Nothobranchius furzeri: one gene and its partners. The protein of the gene in region 1 interacts with the protein of each later gene in a biochemical or structural test. Links are inferred from orthologs where the notes say so. Each region holds a gene or a part of one and is shown on either strand. Other genes may lie near its edges.

Region 1 (4,155 bases):
TTATTATTATTATTCTGAGCTACTACAGCAATCAATTTCCCTCTGGGATCAATAAAGTGTTTTTGAATTGAATTGAATTTTATTCTCTAGTCTTGTTGACTTCATCCTGCGCGGCTGTTCAACGTCTCATCGATACAACATCAAAGACTTTTAAAGTTTGATCAGCAGCAAAAACACCTACAGAACAGGTGACCTGGTGAACTTTGACCTTCTGGAACAGTTCTTTTTCAAAATCTGATGAGGAGGTCTGACTTACTTTAGATTCATGAGCAATTTTTTTCTGGTCTAAAGTGGAAATGTCTTTAATTTCAAAGGTTCTGGTCTTTTAGAGGTTAGATGTTTAGTGTTGTGATCAAATGTTAAAGGTTAAAGCGCTCTAAGAAAATAATCAGTGACTAGGTCAGAGGGATTGAAACAGTTAAAAATCAGCGAAAGAAGACAAGTTAAAAACCTTCAGAAGATCTGGAGACCTGAACCAGAACCACCAGGTCACAGCAAGGGAGACTAGAAAGAGTGACTGGATCAGGAGTTCTGGGACAGATCCAGAATAGATGCTGCAGCATGTGAATTTCCCCACTGTGGGATCAATAAAGTTTATTCTATTCTGTTTAAATGAAATTAACTCTGAAGTTAACCGGCAGGCGATGAAAAGGAGAAGCGGGTTGTGTGATTTGGTCAGAAGCCTGACCTGAGCAAGGACCTGACCAGAAACCAGAAAAGCATTAATTATAGCATGGACATAGTTCTGACTTTAGAAGTGGGGACACACATCTAAGATGAGGCACCCGCCTCAACCCAGATGAGGCGGGTGCGGTGCGGTCTATCACTGCCTCAGTGCCGCTCTCTTGGTCCGTCAGGCCTCTTTCAGAAGCGTTTTCCCAACAGGATGTGTGGATGAAATACGTCTCCACCCATATGCCTGGACTCTCACTTCAATATAATGTAATATTGTTTTTAAACAGCAAAAAGTGCAGGGGACAAGAATTTATTTGGGAAAGTTTGGGGGGGGGGGGGGGGGGGGGACATGCCCCACCTGCTCCCCCAAAACTACATCCATGAATTACAGAGAGCATCTCAAATACAGATTTTTGTCAAAATTTTTTTAAATAAAATGATATAATAAACAGTTTTTCAAAAAGTACATCTTTGGAATAAATATGCTTTGTTTTGAGTGAGTTTGATGATCAGAAACTTTATTTATCACACACACACACACACACACACACACACACACACACACACACACACACACACACACGTAGGTGAGCTGCATCACTGGGCGCCCAGGTTGGGGGGGGGGGGGGGAGTGTCAGGAATCACATGGTTTACGTTTCCAGCTTCCTGAGACGCCATTTTGGAGGAAAGTTTGGACTTCGTGAGACCTGGGGAGGTGCAGGGAGAAGGAGAAGAGGAGGAGGAGGAGAAAAGAGGTGGAAGTTTGACACGAATGCAGCTTCCAGGCTGCTCGGAGGCTCCTGCGGAAGCGTGCGGACCGGGGCGGGGCAACTTTAGGTGGGCCACCAGGCTGGACTTTGAAGTTTGGGGCTTTTCTGGATCAGATTCTGGTTCGGTCTCCTCCGCAGCAGGAGCAGCAGCTGCAGTGGTCGTCGGCTCCTGCATGCTCAGCCTGGTTCGCAGCCTGCTCGGACACAGCCGGAGGATTTTACCCGGACTTTGGCGCCCAGCAGGTCCCAGCTGCTGGAGGCTAGGTCCGCTCCGCTCCCGGTTCCCTCAGCGGTCCGCCCGGGAGCTGCACACCGGCGCAGGGAGCCTCTCAGCTCAGAGAGTCGTTCCCTTCAAAGGAGTTTCTGCTTGATTCTTCCTGGAATAATCACATTTTACCGGGAGTCCTGTGTGTTTGACCCGGAGGACCGGTTCTGGTAGTAGGAACTACTTGGTGGGGTGTTTTTTTTGGAGCAGTGACGGCGGGCTTCTCTTGGAGGAATTATCCCCACAGACCCGTCCTGTGTGCGGGGTGTGTGTGGTTATCACGTCCCTAGGTCCGAACCGAACCCGAACATGCCAGTGAGAAAGAGAGGTAAGCCGCTTTCACTTCATTCCTAAAGATCAAGCTAACTGTGCTAACCTGCTGGGACAAACTCGCATTGCGGTTCAGAAACACAAACACACTAACCCGGTTCTGGCTCGGCTTACACACGACCCACACAGCTCGCTTCAGCCCTCCTGAGCCGAACCGGGCCAGCTGAAGTGAGTTAAAGTAGAGCTAGCCAGTTAGCTTGTGATGCTAACTAAGTTCTAAACTGGACCTAAAAATAAACTCCGAACTTAAATAAAATCTTCACAAAGCCGCTTCAGGTAGCACGTGACACTAAAACCAGTAACGTAGGCCCGGTAAACCGGAGGTAACCAGAAGGGACCGGGTCGGTGGTTACTGGGCTTACAGGCACTTAGTTCCTGACCCGTCTCTGGGTTTACCAGAACCTCCCATTCAGCTGGTGCCGACCCACATAAAAACAAAGTTCAACTTTTGTCCTTGTGAGCTTTTATTAAATACGTGTTAAATTGTGTTTGTGAATCTTAGTGAGTTTATTTGTGTTTAAACCAGTTAAACTGGTGATCTGGTTTTAACAGCAGGCTTCACCGCAACCTGCTTCATGGTGTTTAGTTTTTCATAAACAGAATATTCCTAAAACTTGCTTTTTGTTCTTTAATTCATTTATTAAACCTCCTGATGACCTTTGAATAAGACGTGGGTTATCCATAGACCATCCTGTTTGGGAAGTCTGGGCATCAGGTCTGTGTCAGGTGTAAATCCCGACTGAAGCCCAGCTCTGATCATCATCAGATGCTCCTGATGCAGCTGGAACAACTGAGGGGTGTGTGTTTGGAGGTGCTGCTCCTGCAGGAGGTTGAAGCTGCAGAGGATCAGATGTTTCTCTGTAGCTAGCTGGTCTGAGATCTGTTTTGACTCCTGCTCCTCCTCCTCCTACTCCCCAGATGCACAGCGGGCTCTGCTGCTCCTGGAGGAGTACCGTAACAAGCTGAACCAGACAGAGGACCGCCAGCTTCGACACTCCATTCAGAGGGTCATCGACATCTTCCAGAGCAACCTGTTTCAGGCTCTCATAGGTAAGGCTGAACTTTGACCCCAGCCACTCTGCCTGGACCCAACAGAACCAGCAGTAAAATCAGCAAAATTCACACATTTTGAATGTGGATCTCTGTCATGTTCATATTTGTTCTGAAACTAGAATCAAACCACTAGAACCTTTAGAAGAAGGTTTTGATGGTTCTGTGCTCCAGAACCAGAGGCCCTGTTCTAAACCTCACCTCCTACCTGTGATCCAGACCAGAACAGCTGTAGGTGGAACTGTTCAGTTTCTAAAAGTTCACAAACATCAACGCAGGAGAACCAGAACCAGGCCCTGGAGATGCACCAATGGCTTCTGTATTTCTGTGAGAGCTGTAGGACATCTGGTCAGACTGAAGTCCTCCTGAGAACCTTCTGATCATAGAGGCGAAGTCTTCGGTTTGGGCCCTGTTGGGTCAGAACCCTCTGATGTTCTGTCTGCTGGCTCAGGGATTCCTGTCTGCTCTCCTCCTGCTGAAGGAATAGATGAATCCGTGTGTGTGTGTGTGCGCGCGCGTGCCTGTGCGTGTTCTTCTTAAACCCGTCCTGATTCTGCGTGCGTTTGTTTTGTTGTCTTGGCAGATGCTGACAAAAAAATACATTTCTGTCAGAGGCCCCGTGGGCCGAGCAGGGTGTAATCCCTATGTGGACATGATGATTTCCCTCAGTAATCTCCACCCGCCCGGTTTACACACAGCCTCAGACAGATGGCGTCTGTCCAGTTTTGCTTTAGTGAATCAACTTTCAGATTTCTGCTCTCAGATTATAATCTGGTTCTGACAAATCTGGTCCAGCCGCAGGATCAGGTGTGATAATAAACCCGTTTATATGTAAACAACATCTTTAAATCAATCAGCTGGGTGTGTGTGATCGGCCTGGTTCGACACACACACCCAGATTTTCCTGTAACTTCCTCCTAGGAGATTCCCAGCTGCTCCAGGACCAGCTGGCAGATCCCTCTGTAACGATCAGGAGCTGGACCCACTGGTCTGTCACAGCCGGGCTTTTGCTTCCCTATCCAGAGTTAAAATTAGGAACTGTTAGGTGTGTGTTGGGTCCTGCGT
Region 2 (4,177 bases), on another chromosome or scaffold:
TGGCTCCAAGAAGTACGTATTGGTCTATACTGCACGACAATGCCGTTATCAGGTTTGGGTTCCCTGGAATAGGCGTCCTCATCGGAATCATTATGCAAAGCCTTCTCTTGGTAGTTCTGGTAAAGCTCTTCCTCTGAAAAAAGGGGAAAAAAAAACTAAAGATGAAGAAGCGCACTGATCACAAAGAAGAGTAAGATGACTGCGTCTCACCTTCACTGTCAAACGTCCGCTGAGCTATCAAGAGTTTCTTCTTATTTAGAGTCTACAAGAAAAGTGTCACAACTTTAAACTCCATGGGACCAAAACACCAGCTGTTCTTGACCTCCTTTCCTGACACATATTTAATGACAGAGTCAGTGTGTTTTTAAGTGTGTTTGTTTAGACGTAGCGTCTCGTTGCGTCTGGTCTTCCAACAAACAAGTTAATTGTTTCCCTGTGAGGCCTTGTCCTCACGTCTGCCGCTGCTAAGTTTGTTCCACAATGGTCAGCTTGTGCAGTGGTTTTATAATTCGGACTTTAGCCCTTCTGATACTGAAAATCTGTCAAAGCAATCTTTGTGCAACACAGAGAAGCCATCAGAGTTATTAACTGAGACAAAGACAAAACATAACTTGTTTCAAGCTAAGGAAAATACAAAGGTATACAGGTTATGCTAGGATTATCAGAATGAAGTTTAGACATAAGAACTTTTCAAACAGCGAAATGTTGTATTAAACTTTCTTTACAACAAATTAAGAGGGAAAATGTAATTTGATGAAGATTAAAACAATAAAAATCTCAATAAGACCTTTCAAAGTTGGTCCAACTAATGCAGGCGTCTCAAGACAATTATGTTCAAGCATTCCTTTGGATAACAGATGTACCTACCAGTTTCTTGCTTTTGCTTTTAGATTTTTCCACCTGAGGGCTCGGAGGCTTTGGAGTCTTGGGGCTGGCAGTTTTAGGTGTGCTGGGGCTCGTAGGGATGGCTGCTCCAGGACTCGAAGGGCTCAAGGTGACAGGATGTGATGGGCTATCAGGAGAACTTGGGATAGCCAAAGTAAGCCCGCTAATGGCAGGTTGTGACAACCGATGAGTCATTTGATCTACGGAGGGTATTTCCGTTTCTTCTGCCTTCACAACTGCCCTCCTGTAAGAGGTACTCCTCAAACCTTTCCTTGAAAGGGGGCTTTCACTCCCTCTGTCTGCCTCTTCAGAGTGGCCCCCTCCAGTAGAAAAGTAGCCTCCCGTTTCCACCATGCTGAGTGTTTTTTGCCCTCGCTTGGGAAGGTCTAACCCCAGCCTGGTCATACCCTGGCTCTGTGTTCCAGAAGGATGCGCCTTACTCAGCCGAGTTTCAGACACCAAGCCTTTGGGGATGAGCTGCTGGGTGCCCATTTTCCAAGCGGCGGCGCTGTTGGTGCTCAGGATGATCGACGGACAAGGCGAGACAGCTGGGGATAGTGATGGTAAGGGCGATGTGGAGGAGATGGAAGAGGACGATGAGACATTCAGGGCGTCTTGTGAGGAGGAAGATGTCCGAGACTGCCTGACCAGGGAAAATCCTCGGTCTGCTGGTGAGGGGGAGCGAGGAGTGGAAGGGTCAGAGGAGGTCAAAGACAAGAGTGAGGGGATGCTGGACGTGGAGCTGTTGGAGGGTGTGAGGGTACCGTGTGATGACGGTGAGGAGCTCGATGAAGAGGATCGTGAAAATGTTTCATAGTTGTTGTTGTTGACATTTGTAGAACAGCTGAAAGGATCAGCTTCGGATGAAAATGAATTCTGTTTTCTCTGTAAGCTGAGACTCTTGGGACTGGAGGTGATTTCAGACAATACAGCTTGTCCATTACTGGTATTCCCTCTGCCACTGTCTCCATTACACACTTTGTTGTCCAGTGAAGCAGATTTGTTATTGTCAGATCTAAATTTGGCCAGAGAGAATCGCCCACTGGACAGATGGCCTATGCTTATGCTCCGAACCACTCTGGTTTTCCTTGAGGGCTTCTGTAAAACGTGCTTCATCACCGCGGTGTTGTTGTGAGCAGACTGAGCTGATCCCGCCTGTCTCTCAGCTGGCTGGCTGTCCTCCACAGGGACATCAGCAGTCATGACCCCGTTTATGCGATAACTAACGGGCCGCTGCTTAGACCTGCTCATGTCCAGGGAGCTTTTACGGTGGTCTGTACGCAGTTTCCACAAAGGCGTGATGTTATTATTGGACAGATCGACATCGCTGCCAATATCCATAGTTGTTGCGAGTCCTCGTTGCCGTTTGTGGCTGAACTTCCAGGCTGGAGCAAACTACAGAGCCCTTTTGGGGAGCAGATATCCTCCGCTTGAGATGCACAAGAGGAAAAACACCACTCAGCATTCAAGAGCTCAGGACAGTGTACAAATTCCAAACGTTTACTCATTAACAGGGACTTGGAGCAGACACAACTACAGACAAGACACATGTGGTCAGAAAACAGAAGGCAAACCAGTCAAGACAGATCTTTTTGTATTTACTCATCATAGTGAAATGACCTAATTACAAACTGGTGAGATGACGAGCAGTTACTGTAGAAGTCCAAACAGGAAACAACAAGGCACCAGATTTTAGTGTTGTTTTTAATCTATTTATGAGGCAAGGTGCTGTTTCTGATTACCAGGAGAAACTAAAAGCAGGTTAAAAGTTAAACTTACCTCCTAACCTATCACTCTGGACGTGCTCTTTACGCCTGAGCTGTCCGAAAAGCGCATTTTTAGCGAAATGATGACCAAAAAACAGAGAAGTTTAAGGAGTTACTGACAGAGAGGATTCATGCCTGCCACCCTGACCGCGTCTGTGGGAGCGCTGAGGAGTTTGAATGCAGGGGGGAGGTGGAGGAGGAGGAACAGCAGTACTCAAGTTCAGGAATTCACTCAGATAGTTTCTACTTCAGCATATTGGAGAGGGTTTCCGGGAAGACAATGAAGCTTTTTGTAGCAGTTGGCCAGGCTTGTTGATGAAAATCAAGCAAATGTGATGAAAAACAGGGTGTAGGCTACAATAAAAGTGTAATTAGAAACTGTTATTTTACAAGTAAGTCCTCGATAGTCAATTTTCCAAAAGGTTTTCCCACTTTTCCAACACGCCTGTTTTAAAAGCTATTTTACCTGCTTTTCTTTGGCGCCACCGTGTGGTAGATTGTGATACTGCCAAATATCTGAACACAACAAGAAATGGAACTATATAAAAACAATTAAACTCAAACGTGTGTATCAAATCTACTTTATTACCCACATATGCATCACTGTGGACGAACATTATAAAGTATAATCATTTCTGATGACCTCGTCCTGATTTATAGATTTCATAACCATTCCATTAAAATGCATTGGGCAATGTGTGAGTCGTGTTTTCATGCATTTTTGATTGCACAACTCCGTGTGTGACAGAATGTCCCCATTAAATGAACACACATGCATTCCTCCAGGCTTAAAAACAAATTACTCATTCCAAGTAAATGCCAGCTTTTATAGCGCTTAATTGCTCCCTACTGTCAAAGTGCTTTTTGTGCTGTCGTTTTTTGACCACTAGGGGTCATGATTGCCCTGTTTGCCAATGATAGCTCATATCATTGATTGAGAAACATCTGTCAGACTAAGTGCAATCTGAAGTTTTGCTTCCAGAGTGTTGCCTTTTTTTATTAAACTAACTAAAAATGACAACAGCAAAAAACATTTCGTTTAAATTCTATTTGTGAATCATTGTGTTATTTCATTTAAATATGCTTTATCAGTCCATCTGCCTCACAGGACGTTTACATGGAGTAAAAACCCCTTCGTGGACACCCCCTTTCATGTTCCAACTTCTACATTTTTCAAAAGTTTTCGTAATGAACCTGAACAACCTGCAGCTCATTGTCTTAGTAATTAAGCTCCTCATAATGAAACTCTTTCTGCTTCTGTCAAATTAAAATTGAATTTAATTTGTCTGTATATTTTCAGTAGAAAATAGTGAAAATGTTAAATGTGCCCAGAAAAAGGCTTAGAGTCAAAATGAAATGTGATTATGGATTTTTTTTTTTTGAGAAATGCAAACAGACGTAATTACCTACTAGCTTCTGGAATAAAACAAAATACATTTGCAAATAAACAAAAGTGCATTTTCTAAAAATAATTAATTTTAAGTTGTGGTTTACTCATTCTTTCAATACATTTGCACTCTTCTCTA
Region 3 (4,072 bases), on another chromosome or scaffold:
CGTCTGAAGTTCTCTCCTTGTTGTGTCTTAGGAACAATAACGCTGCGTTTAAAGAGACTCTGAAGCAGATCGAGTCGAACAGCGAATGCGGAGGCCTCCCCATGCTCTCGTTCCTCATCCTGCCCATGCAGAGAGTCACCAGGCTGCCGCTGCTGCTCGATGTTAGTTTAACCTTTGACTGTAGAAACAGACTTTAGAGCTAAAAACAGTGATTTTTTAGCTGTTTGAACATAATACTAAAAATATCTGACTGTATAATTTCTAATAGCGTGCAGTAATTTAGCTACGGTATTACTCCTTTAATTGCTTTATTTTTCTATTTGCAGACAATCTGTCAGAAAACTCCAGCACAGACAGCGGAGTATTTTTCTGCTGTTTGGGCACTGAATGCCATGAGTAAGGTATAACAAGTCAGCTGAGTGGAAAACACTCCTCATCAGTACACGTGTGTTGAGGATGTTGATGTTTTGATTTGTTTTTGCTGCTGTTGTGATCTCAACAGTTGGTCACAAGCTGCAACGACGGTGCAAGGCGGATGGAGAGGACGGAGCAGATGTACACGATCCAGAAACAGATGGATTTTGGAAAAATAAAGGTGAGTATTTCTGCAGAAATGTGCTCAGAGCGGTTCGTTTAGGGTAAAACGAGCAAACTAACAGATTTAATATGAACAGTGATGAATCTGAATCAGCACAGAAAACTAACAGCTGTCTCCTCGCAGCCTTTCCCGCTGATTTCATCATCACGATGGCTGAAGAAGCGAGGAGAGCTCTCCATCTCCAGCGAGGAGCTCAGCATATGGAGAGCGTTCAGCAACAGGAGCTACTACCTGTTTCTCTTCTCTGATGTACTCATCATCACCAGGAAGAAGACGTGAGTGGATTCACCGAGCTTGTTCATATTATTCACCCGAGTTTCTGAATGAAGCTGAAAATTACAGATCCGATTCTGATTCAGAGTACTTCAAACCTAGTTGTGCTGCCTGTCTAATTTACAGCCAGCTTGAGAGTGTCTGATAGAGGCGTTATGTTGTCTTTGTGACCTGTGGACACTAAACAGACCCAGCTGGTCACAGGAACACGAGCAGAGGGTATGGGATGTGTTGCATGCATACTTGGGATTCTTCAATCTTGCATTCAGCTCGTCAGCTCGACCGACTTCTGTTTTGAGTTAGGGAGAAGCCAAACAACGTCCGCTCAGAGGACGGGTTTGTCCACAACACCGGGTTCAAAGTCAAAGCTGTGACCCGGTTTCAGGTGAAAGCATACGATAAGGGTTTAAGCAGACAGCTGAGGAATATGCTGCTTTTTAAACACGGTCACTCCTACACGCTACCCATATGGAACGTAATGTTTTTTTAAATCCAGAGAGGAGAGCTTCGTGGTGCTGGACTACGCCACTCTGGAGAACGTGGAGGTGGAGTTAGGGGAGGATGCAGAAGTACGAGGAGTGTCACCTACAAAATACAACTCCAACCAGCTTTCCTTCAGACTAAGGATGAGTAAGAACAGCGAGGGGAAGTCAGAGCAAACCTCTCTGGTGGCTGACTCCAGGTACTGCTGCACTCCCATGTTCCTAAAGTAAATGTAATGTTTCCTACTAATAACACTGCCTCTAACCTGGACAAGAACCGCCTTGTAAACATGTATCTGCAGGCTGGACTCATAAAGCCTTCCTGTAATCCACGATTCTGAGTGTTTGGCTCCCTCTGCTGGCAGAATGATAGCTCACTGTTCTCTCTTGCCAAGGGTGGACCGAGCTCGCTGGATAATTGCACTGAGAGGGAAGCAGACCAGTTTTACCTGCACAAACGGTAAGTCTGCATACTTCAGTGAGTTGCTGTAATGATGGTTGAGACTTTTTCCCTGTGAGGATAAGCTGCACAGAATTTCCTTTCGTTCTTTTAATATTTTAAATCATTTGAGTTAGATTTGTGAACCCCAGTGCAATGCATTATGGGAATCTGTTTCAGGTTCACCACAGTATGAAGCCACCAAAGCTTACATCCCCAAAGAGCCAGATGAACTGAGTTTGCGGCAGGCTGAGCTCGTCATAGTTCTGCAAAAGGAGGAGGGTGAGACTTTCTAGCTCATACTAGTCCCGATTCTTTTCTGCTTCTGTGTTTTAAACCGTTTGCTCTCCTTAGATTGGTGCTACGGGGAGAGGATGCGGGATGGTGAGAGAGGCTGGTTTCCTGCTAACTGTGCCACAGAGATCACCGACCCCACCGCCATGGAGAATAACGTACAACGTATGAAGCGCCTGCGCAAGGAAACCAATGTTTGATCAACTGTCAGGGTTTTGCTTGGACAGACTTGTAGATAAATTACACTGAACCCCAGACGTCCATAACTAGACTGAAAGATGTTTATTAGCTGAATGTTGCCATAAAATTTGATGTAGTCAGTTTATAAAACAGTTAATGGTTCAAACATCTTCATTAAACTACTCCTATATTGTGCCTGTATAAATAATAAAATCCACCAGACACATTTTCTGGTTTCTGGAGTTTTATTTGAGCTTGCATTTTGTTAAAATGTCTGAATACATAAAAAGTTATTTAAAAATGTCAAACTGACCAGATATCAAATTTCATTTTTAATCATCTTTAAAAACCATTTGGTGTAAAAACTTAGGACAGATTTAGAAAAACATTTGTTGTTTCCCCAAAACGTTTTGTAGCTGCAAGTAAAAATAATGGGAAAGAAAAACAAGTCTGCATAGATTCTGCAGGCAATCGGTGGTAATCTGGTCAAACGCGTGGTGCAAGCTTGTGACGATCTTAAAAGTCAAATCTTTATTGCTCGGATCTTGTTTGATGTTTCTTCTTGTTGACAAAAGAAAAACTGTTGAAAAGAAACATAATTTAGTCGACATGCACCATGAACATCAAATGCTTAATGAGCTTCTGCTCACCCGGACGATGGTAAAAGATGGTAGGTGCCGGTGGGCAGGTTCACTACTCAGCCCCACCCTGCTGGGCCTCGGGAGCGGACGTTTTCTCTGCAGGTGGGTCGCCTCCTGTCTTGGCCTCCTTGTTTTCCTGGCCTGGTTTGCCACCAGTCTGTTGGCGTCTGCGGCGGTAGTTGTAGTTACGGCGGTAGCGCCTCTGGCGGGGCTGTTGATTCTGACCACCTTCACCGCCCTGATTTTCTTTGTCCTCCTCGCCGTCTCGCACCGGTCTGGGACGGGGTGGACCCCTGGAGCACAGAGACCGTCATGAGAACGATTCAGAAAATCGGGGTAAAGATTGCATTAACTGCAGATGCTGGATGAAGTTTCAAAGACATGCAAATATAAATAAAATGAATGCACAGCAGCAATTTGAGGTTGGGCTGCAACAACAGAAGTTTGTAATGTGACGTTTTGTCATCACTTCAAATTTTTAAAATGAAGCTCCAGTGGACCCAGAGCTTCACCAACTACTCCAGTTTTTGCCAACCCTTCATCAATAAAGCCAACATGCAAACCTTGGTGTGAACCTTGGTCGGAAGCCTCTGTAGTAGTTCTGCCTCGCCGGTTTGTTCCCCTGGTCTGGACCTCCTTGGCCCTCATCAACCTCACCTCCCTGAAAACAAACATTTAACCATAACGGACGCTTTTTTTAGTGACACACCCACTTTAGAAACTTGAAACCATCTAAGTTTTTTGTTTTAATTCTTTTTTTTTTTTTTTCAAGATTTTGTTCACAGTTTTGTTGTTTTTCATTGACAGGAGGGGCTCACTTCCAAGACCCCCGATACACCAAGATTAGTTGATCACAACCACGTTTGTGAAGAGGAGAGTAGCTCGTCTACAACAAAGGGTTTTAATTTTGGAATGGGACAACTGGGTGACTGTTTCAGGATTTTAGCCCTGTGACAGCGTACCTCAGTCATCTCTGCGTGGTGCGTTGGGTGTATGGGGCCTGCGGCCGTAGCGACTACGTACAAAATATGGTGGGTAGCGCCGTCTGCCAGGGTACGCTGGTCTGCGCTGTGGTTGCTGCGAATCTCCATCAGGGATGTTATCTCCACCCTCTCTGCTGCCTTTGTCACGTCCTCCACTGCCAGGCTCTCCCTCGTCGCTCTGG
Region 4 (3,476 bases), on another chromosome or scaffold:
ATTAGTCAAGCTAAGATGTGACTTGAACCAGTTAAGTGGAATGTGAGAATTGCCTATTGTGGATAGGGGGGAGTGACAGATGGTGTCAAATTCAGCACTGAGGTAAAGGAGAATGAGGATAGAGACCGAGCCAGAGTCAGCAACATTAGAAGATCATTAGTGATTGATCTCGTTTGAATTAAGCAGGCCATTCTGTTCTGACATGTATTTGTTCCGTTCATGTGGGCATGTTGTGGTCCCTCTGGACAGATGGTTGCTTGAAGGTGTAAGACGAACCCCGAAGCTAACACCTGACAGTGGAAGGTTATTTTAACTCAGAACGTGAGTCAGCAGTTAGCTGGTTAGTTATCCTGTTGAACCAGTAGGTCAGGTCAGTTATTCTTAATACATATTAATACATTGCAGTTATGGTCTGGTAACGCAGATCAGATATAATTTTGACAAAAATATCTAGATTTTTTTGGCTGGTGACTGTATAAAATGTCATGTCTACATTTGATGAGCCGTGTTCATAGGGCAGTACTGAAACTTACCTCCTATTTGTCATGAAGTCAATTTGCCAACATCAAATGACTTTACTGATGAAAATATGCATAATTTACATTTTATCTCCTTGCATGAGTCAACGAGAATCATGCCAAAGCTTTTCAACAAACAAGGCAATAGTATATTTCACAAAGCTATTTAGTTAGTGACCCCACCTGAATCCTCCCTGAGCCTACAAACAGGTCTCGGGACAAGCAGCCATGTTACCATTTGTCTGGGGCTCTTTCAAGAACCTCTCCACTTCCTGTGTGTCCACTGTGATGTTCTTCTGCCTGAACTCAACCCTTTCCTCCTTTTCCTTTATCACCATCTCCTGTTCTTCTCTCACCTTTTTCTCCTCATCATCGTTCACCTCTGCACTTGTGCTGCACATCTTTGAAGTACAATCGTCGGTTGCTGTGATGCTCTCTAGTTTGTCTGCTGGCTCAGGGGACCTCTTAATGAACAGAAAATTGCCGGCAGCTAGAACCACAGCAGACAGCACCACTTCACATCCCGCCAGCAGGAAGACATACATGTAGTTGTTGGTGGCATCAAGCAGCCGCCCTGAAACAAAGACAAGATCAAATGAGAGTTGTATTAACCTACATATTCGTTACATTATGGCTCAAAACCTTTTTTTTTTACGACCAAATTGTTTTTTTTACCAATGCAAAATTGCATGGGTAAAATAATTAGCTCTCAGGGTGCACAGTAAGCTGGCATGCACTCTATAAGTGAAACTGTCAACGTCCCGCTCTGTGCAAAGACAGCTTGTTTAAATTGCCCTGTGGCATGAACCAGCTACTTCCGCGGCCACACACACAACACGTCACACCATTCAGTTCAACACAGCTTTATTTACTCCTTTCCCTTCGCTCTCCTTCTCCCAGCCCGCCCAGACGTTTCTCCTGGCTTTTCAGTCCCAGCTTGTCCTCCCCTGTCTTCCTCCTCCTCCTATAGTTAGAAGGCGAGGTCTGATTATTGATGCACTCCAGCTGTGTGGCAGCGTGCCCCCTCAGTTATGCCCGCTCCATCTGCCCATGGAGGATCAGACAGTAAGCTATCTGACAGAGAGATGGTCATCCCAGAAGACAAGGGTCTCATCGGACTGTTTTGGTACCTCTGGCCCCAAATCACTCTTCCCCCGAACTGCACACAGTAGAGATACTGGCGCCTCCTCTCTTCGTGCTTTTAGGAGATTCAGGTGATAGATCTGAGTGGCTACTCCCCTGTCAGACTGCACCACCTCGTAGTCCACGTCCCCCACTCACCGCGTTACCTCAAAGGGTTCTTGCCACTTGGTGAGTAGTTTGGAGCTGGAAGAAGGGAGTAATACAACAACTTGATCCCCTGGGTAAAATTCTCATACCCTGTTGATGATGTTCCTGGGCCTGGAGCAAATGTCCTCGTGAAAGTGTTCCCAGTGTTTGGAGCTTTGCTCTCAGGTCCAGGACGTAAAGGATGTCATTTTTACTTGTGCTTGGACCTTCCTCCAAATTTTCCTTAATTAGGTCCAGCATTCCCCTGGGGGGTTCTGCTAAATAACAGCTCAAAAGGGGGAAACCCTGTGGAGGCTTGGAGGAACCTCTGGGATTGCGAACAACAGAGGGTCCAGTCACTTATCCCAGTGACGTTTGTTCACGTGAATGAGCTTCCGAATCATGGTCTTCAATGTGCGGTTGAAACGCTCCACCAACTCGTTTGTCAGCAGGTGGTAGAAACTGGTTCCTACCGATGTGATGTCCAATAGAAAGAAAAGAAAGAAGAAAGAAAACAATATTTTGTACAGCGACTCTTAAGATAAAAATCACGAAGCACTTCACAAGAACAAAAATTTCTAAAACCAAAATATATATAAAAAAAAAAAAGATTTTCCTTTAAATCTGAGACCATGGTCTTGATTCGGGAAAGGGTAGAATTCCTTCTCCGGGTCAGGGATGAGGTCCTGCCCCAAGTGGAGGAGTTTAAGTATCTCGGGGTCTTGTTCACGAGTGAGGGAAAGCTGGAGCGTGAGATCAATAGGCGGATTGGTGCTGCGGATTGGGACTATGTCTCTCACCTGGCCAGGGAACGCCTTGGGATTCCCCCGGAGGAGCTGGCCCAAGTGGCCTTAGGCTACTGCCCCCACGACCCGACTCCGGATAAGTGGATGAAAACGGATGGATGGATGGATTTTAAAATATCATAAAAAGGAGGTGAAAAACATGTGATAAAAATGTAAGGAAAGGGATTGGGAAAATAAATAAGAAAAAGGTGTATTTACGGAATATTTTCGGAAAAGGGTAGAATTCCTTCTCCGGGTCAGGGATGAGGTACTGCCCCATGTGGAGGAGTTTAAGTATCTCGGGGTCTTGTTCACGATTGAGGGAAAACTGGAGCGTGGGATCGATAGGCGGATTGGTGCTGCATCTGCAGTGATTTAAAATCCATCCATCCGTTTTCATCTGCTGATGTATATTTACGTCTTGTAGGTTTATTAATGGGCTGTGCAGTGGCGCAGTGGTTAGATGGGAAAGGTGGAATTGGTAGACAGAGCAGATAAGGAGAGGGTGGTGATGAAGGTCACACCAAAGCCTGAACAGGTGAGTTTTCAGCTGATTTTTAAAGAAGACCACTGAGTCCACGGATCTCAGGCTCAGGGGGAGAGAGGTCTAGAGTCTGGGGACCACAGCAGCAGATGTACCAGAATTATGTTAATCACATATTTTAGCTATCCTTGTTTTTAATTCTTATTTTGTATGTATTTTTTTTTACCTTGTTTTAAATTGTAATGTCTGTGCTTTATGTACATGGGACTACGGATGGAAACTAGTTTTTCTAATTCTGGTATACGTCTTGAAGGGTTTATTAATGGGCTGTGCAGTGGCGCAGTGGTTAGAGCTGTTGCCTTGCAGCGAGAAGGTCCTTTCTGCATGGAGCTTGCATGTTCTCCCTGTGCATGTGTGGGT
Region 5 (4,161 bases), on another chromosome or scaffold:
TTGAGTGTTAAAATCCTCATTCGTGTTCCAGCTGAGCAGAAGGTGCCTACCGTGTTGCCTGCATGGCCTACAGTTTCTGTCTCTACATAGAAATCTGCCAAACCCAGCGCAAATTCTACATTAGTGCAAACATGTTTTAAACTGTATTGCATAACAGCAAAAAGATCGTCCCTAACCCTCTGGTGTGACAGATGAAACTCATAAAGTGCGAATGCATAGCCTGTTTCTAATTTAGATCTGTCAGATTTGGAAGCCCGCACAGAATAAATTAATATATTTACCAATAAATTAGATAAATTATAGATTATGATTGTGTCAAGAGAAAACTTTTGAGCTTGCCAATTAGTTTCGTGTTTATGTGTGAGTGTATGTGTGTGCGTAAATCTGTGTGTGTCTGTGTGCACTCTGACGCGTGCGTAAAGCCTGTGTTTGGGGAGGGTTGGGGAGGGGATTCCGCTGCTGTTGAGCAGAAAGTGTCTCTACAAGATGCTTTTCTTCTTTGGAAAACAAAACAATACCACTAATAATAATAAACTACTGTAATCACACGTCAGTCTGAATGGATTTAGAGTTAGTACTGTTTTTCCTGCTTATGTCTGTGCCGTTTCCTTTACTGGGGCTCTTGTCCAGCCCGCACAGCGACTCCGTCACCCCTTCCTCCATCTCCATGTACTCCGCTTTGTCACCCAGCGATGAGCCAGAGGGTGAACCTTTGAATTTTCTTAGAAAGTCAGGGAAATAAGGGCATCCCGGGGGCATGCTCTCCACCACGGCGGGCGGCTGGTCGTCGTTATCCGTCTCTCGGTGGTAAAAGTAGTTAAAATTGGACACTATGACAGGCACCGGCAGCGCGATGGTTAACACGCCCGCGATCGCGCACAGCGAACCAACTATCTTCCCACCAACAGTGATGGGCTTCATGTCACCGTAGCCAACCGTCGTCATGGTAACCACGGCCCACCAGAACGCGTCGGGGATGCTCGTGAACTGAGAGGTGGGTTCGTCCGCCTCAGCGAAGTACACCGCGCTGGAGAACAGGATTACGCCGATGACCAGGAAGAAGATGAGCAGAGCCAGCTCCCTCATGCTGGCGCGCAGCGTGTGACCCAGGATCTGCAGCCCCTTGGAGTGTCTGGACAGCTTGAAGATGCGGAACACCCGAACCAGGCGGATTATTCTCAGGATGGCGAAGCTCATGGTGTGCTGCCCGTTGCCCTGGTGCTGCGCCAGATCCGTGCCAAGAGTTATGAAGTAAGGCAAAATGGATACAATGTCTATCGTGTTCATAATGTTTTTAAAGAAAGCTGTTTTGCTCGGACTTGCAAAGAAGCGCACTATAATCTCAAAGGAGAACCAGATGATGCAGACCGTCTCCACGATGAAGAACGGGTCGTTGAAGGGTGTGAAGCCGTGGTCCGGCTGAGAAGAGTTGTGTCGTGGCTGCAGGTACTCTTTTTCATCCCTGAACTCTGGCAGCGTCTCCAGGCAGAAAATGACAATAGAGATGACGATGACCAGGACGGACACCACCGCGATGCCCCGGGCAGGACTCGAGCTCTCCGGATACTCGAACAGCAGCCAGATCTGGCGCTTGAACTCGTCCTCCGGCAGAGGCTTTTCCTCCTCTTTCACAAAACCCTCATCTTCCCGAAACTTGAGGATCGCCTCCTCGCCGAGTTCGTAAAACTTCACCTCCTCTGAGAAGATGTCAAACGGCACGTTCACGGGTCTTTTTAAGCGCCCCCCTGACTGGTAGTAGTACAGGATGGCATCGAAGCTCGGCCGGTTTCGATCGAAGAAGTATTCGTTCCTCAGCGGGTCGAAGTACCTGATGCGCTTGTCGGGGTCTCCCAGCAAGGTGTCTGGGAACTGAGTGAGAGTCTTGAGCTGAGTTTCAAACTTCAGCCCCGACACGTTGATGACCACCCGCTCGCAGCAGCCGCACTCGCTGTAAACGTTCTCGTAGCCGGACTGAGGGCGCCGGTCGGTGATCGACACCGTCTCCTCATCATCCATGTTGCACAGAAAACTCGACCTTTTGCTGCCTCGAACCCCCTCTGCCGCCTCCCCTTCTTCCTCCTCCTCTTCCTCCGCTCCCTCGGCCTCCTCCTCCTCCTCCTCTATCATGATGTCCTCCTCGGATCCGAGCAGCGCCAGCTCCGAGTGGCGCAGGTCCCCGCCGAGAGTGCTCCGGTTGCGCCTCCACCGTCCGACGCCGCGCTGCTTTTTCCGCTCTCTGAGAACTCTGTGCTGCTGCTCGGGTTCCTGCTGATGCTGGGAGGAGGAGGAGGAGGGGCGCGAGGCGGCGCTGCTGCTGATGTTCGCGGAGGAGGAGGCGGCGCGAGACTGATGCTGGCGATTGTTAAGGAGATGAGCGCTCGAGGAGGCGGTGGAGGTGGACCCCCCTACACCACCGCCTCCACCACCTCCTCCTCCTCCTCCTCCTCCCTCCGCACCAGAGCATCCTTCGGCCGCGGCCGCTGCAGCCGCCGCTCGCGACTGGGCAGCCTGGCGCTCCCTCTCGCGCTCCCTTTCCCGTGCGCGAGCTTGGGCATATCCGTAAGGCAGGTGACTGTTGCACCCTCCGTCCGCACCCACCATCGCAAATTCCATTTTCAGTCGATCAGCGGCGCAGTAAGCGCCACGACAAGGTGTGGATGCAGAGCAGGGGAGAAAAGTTGCAGTTCGGCGCGCGCAGAGACGCGAGGGCACGAGGCATCAACCGTTCCCGGGAATAAGAGAAAGTGAGAACAACAAACACTCCTCAGAAAGGTCCATATTGGGTAGCTTCTTACATGATAGAAGATAATGGTCGTGGCTCGAGCACCCAAGATTTTATGACATCATTAGAAGCAAAATATAAACATAAGGATAATACAAATCCAAGGGCCAGTGGCATAGCCTGTTACGCAGACGCTCTGTCAAACTTGCAGCGCCGCTTTATGTGTTCATAAATCACCGAGTCAACAAGCGACACCAAAACAGTCTCTCCTCCGTTTCTCTGGTGGCCATCAGGTGGCTCATTCCCCCACGACCGAGGGTTTGCGCTCAAACGCGTCCTTTAATCCTCCGTGGTCACCCGTGGTTGCCATTTTATGAGGTGAGATCTATATTTGTGTTTCATTTGGATGGATCTCCGCTTTATTCTGGAGCTCCGATGAATCCGAATGACTTTTCCTCTCAGAAGCTGCGAGAAAAGGAGAGGATAGGATTTAGACAACAACACGAGAGAAAGGGACGTGTTAATATTAATGATCGCTGTGCATATTACGAAACTTCACACGCTTATTATTATTATTATTATTATTATTATTATTATTATTATTATTATTATTATTATTAATATTAATGCTTGGACGGCATTAACAAAACACGTTTCGCACGAAATCCTCTCACTAAGCACCATTATTTCATCCTGACATCCATACTTACATCCGTAAAGGGCCAAAAGAGCCTCAGCCCTCCTAAAAACACATTTGTTGGAAGATGATGAGGAGGCGAGGATACAGATTTTCTTCTGCGCTCAAACCTTCGTCTTGATTGTGAGGCGTGATAATCACAAATCCGTCTCCGTCTCCAACGGGCGACCATATCCACATCCAGCATATGCATCCGTGCTCTGACGCACTCTGAGGAGGGCACTTTTTCCGGCTGCGTGCATGTCGACGTGTTGTCTCAATTCAACAGGATCTGTTGGCACTTGAGCCTCAATTTCTGCGGCACCGCTTCTGGGGAATCAGGTGTTCACGCAGCGAGTTGGCATCTACGATGGCTCCACGCGACCGCGAGCAGAAGAAAACGAGGGTGGGTAAAAGTTTACCTTGGTTCGGGCGGAAAGGAACGGCCTCAGTCTGAGCATCACACATCTGTCTGTCTGCCGCTTTAGCTCTACCTATCTCCTGTATCCCTCCCATTGTGTGTGTGTGTGTGTGTGTGTGTGTGTGTGTGTGTGTGTGTGTGTGTGTGTGTGTGTGTGTGTGTGTGTGTGTGTGTGTGTCGTGTACTGCAGCGCGCAGGCGGCGCTCGGTCCTCCCCCAGTGGACGCAGCCGGTACTGCGTACCTGCTGCAGTCTCTCATCCACAATTATCTGCCCTTCAGCATGCCTCCATGGTGCCAAACTGACTTTTTTTCCTCAACAAAAAAAAAGTATATTTTTCCTT

The links.
Region 2: the proteins of dlg1b (region 1) and rho guanine nucleotide exchange factor 26 interact in a test that uses a peptide from one of them, tested with the Homo sapiens proteins (2 studies listed by BioGRID and IntAct, with this or other methods). The link is inferred for Nothobranchius furzeri from reciprocal best matches to the Homo sapiens genes DLG1 and ARHGEF26.
Region 3: the proteins of dlg1b (region 1) and arhgef16 interact in a test that uses a peptide from one of them, tested with the Homo sapiens proteins (2 studies listed by IntAct, with this or other methods). The link is inferred for Nothobranchius furzeri from reciprocal best matches to the Homo sapiens genes DLG1 and ARHGEF16.
Region 4: the proteins of dlg1b (region 1) and slc16a3a interact in a test that uses a peptide from one of them, tested with the Homo sapiens proteins (2 studies listed by IntAct, with this or other methods). The link is inferred for Nothobranchius furzeri from reciprocal best matches to the Homo sapiens genes DLG1 and SLC16A3.
Region 5: the proteins of dlg1b (region 1) and kcna4 interact in a biophysical measurement, tested with the Homo sapiens proteins (2 studies listed by IntAct, with this or other methods). The link is inferred for Nothobranchius furzeri from reciprocal best matches to the Homo sapiens genes DLG1 and KCNA4.

The regions. Positions count from the first base shown.
Region 1 is NC_091751.1:34,942,010-34,946,164, reverse strand, and holds the start of dlg1b (disks large homolog 1), read left to right. Parts: upstream 1-1,355; 5' UTR 1,356-2,019; coding exon 2,020-2,038; intron 2,039-2,958; coding exon 2,959-3,090; intron 3,091-4,155. UniProt on the Homo sapiens protein: Essential multidomain scaffolding protein required for normal development. Recruits channels, receptors and signaling molecules to discrete plasma membrane domains in polarized cells.
Region 2 is NC_091753.1:51,607,815-51,611,991, forward strand, and holds the start of rho guanine nucleotide exchange factor 26, read right to left. Parts: upstream 2,803-4,177; 5' UTR 2,665-2,802; intron 2,315-2,664; 5' UTR 2,227-2,314; coding exon 868-2,226; intron 263-867; coding exon 211-262; intron 134-210; coding exon 1-133. UniProt on the Homo sapiens protein: Activates RhoG GTPase by promoting the exchange of GDP by GTP. Required for the formation of membrane ruffles during macropinocytosis. Required for the formation of cup-like structures during trans-endothelial migration of leukocytes.
Region 3 is NC_091755.1:32,511,824-32,515,895, forward strand, and holds the end of arhgef16 (rho guanine nucleotide exchange factor 16), read left to right. Parts: intron 1-31; coding exon 32-161; intron 162-326; coding exon 327-401; intron 402-502; coding exon 503-595; intron 596-721; coding exon 722-873; intron 874-1,367; coding exon 1,368-1,553; intron 1,554-1,748; coding exon 1,749-1,813; intron 1,814-1,972; coding exon 1,973-2,074; intron 2,075-2,146; coding exon 2,147-2,286; 3' UTR 2,287-2,959; coding exon of another isoform or gene 2,960-3,200; 3' UTR 3,201-3,470; downstream 3,471-4,072. Other genes in the region: ybx1 (Y-box-binding protein 1), read right to left, coding at 2,960-3,200, 3,471-3,568, 3,931-4,072. UniProt on the Homo sapiens protein: Guanyl-nucleotide exchange factor of the RHOG GTPase stimulating the exchange of RHOG-associated GDP for GTP. May play a role in chemotactic cell migration by mediating the activation of RAC1 by EPHA2.
Region 4 is NC_091758.1:11,499,055-11,502,530, reverse strand, and holds the end of slc16a3a (monocarboxylate transporter 4-like), read right to left. Parts: intron 1,093-3,476; coding exon 719-1,092; 3' UTR 515-718; downstream 1-514. UniProt on the Homo sapiens protein: Proton-dependent transporter of monocarboxylates such as L-lactate and pyruvate. Plays a predominant role in L-lactate efflux from highly glycolytic cells.
Region 5 is NC_091749.1:47,038,237-47,042,397, forward strand, and holds kcna4 (potassium voltage-gated channel subfamily A member 1), read right to left. Parts: upstream 2,802-4,161; 5' UTR 2,614-2,801; coding exon 544-2,613; 3' UTR 397-543; downstream 1-396. UniProt on the Homo sapiens protein: Voltage-gated potassium channel that mediates transmembrane potassium transport in excitable membranes. Forms tetrameric potassium-selective channels through which potassium ions pass in accordance with their electrochemical gradient.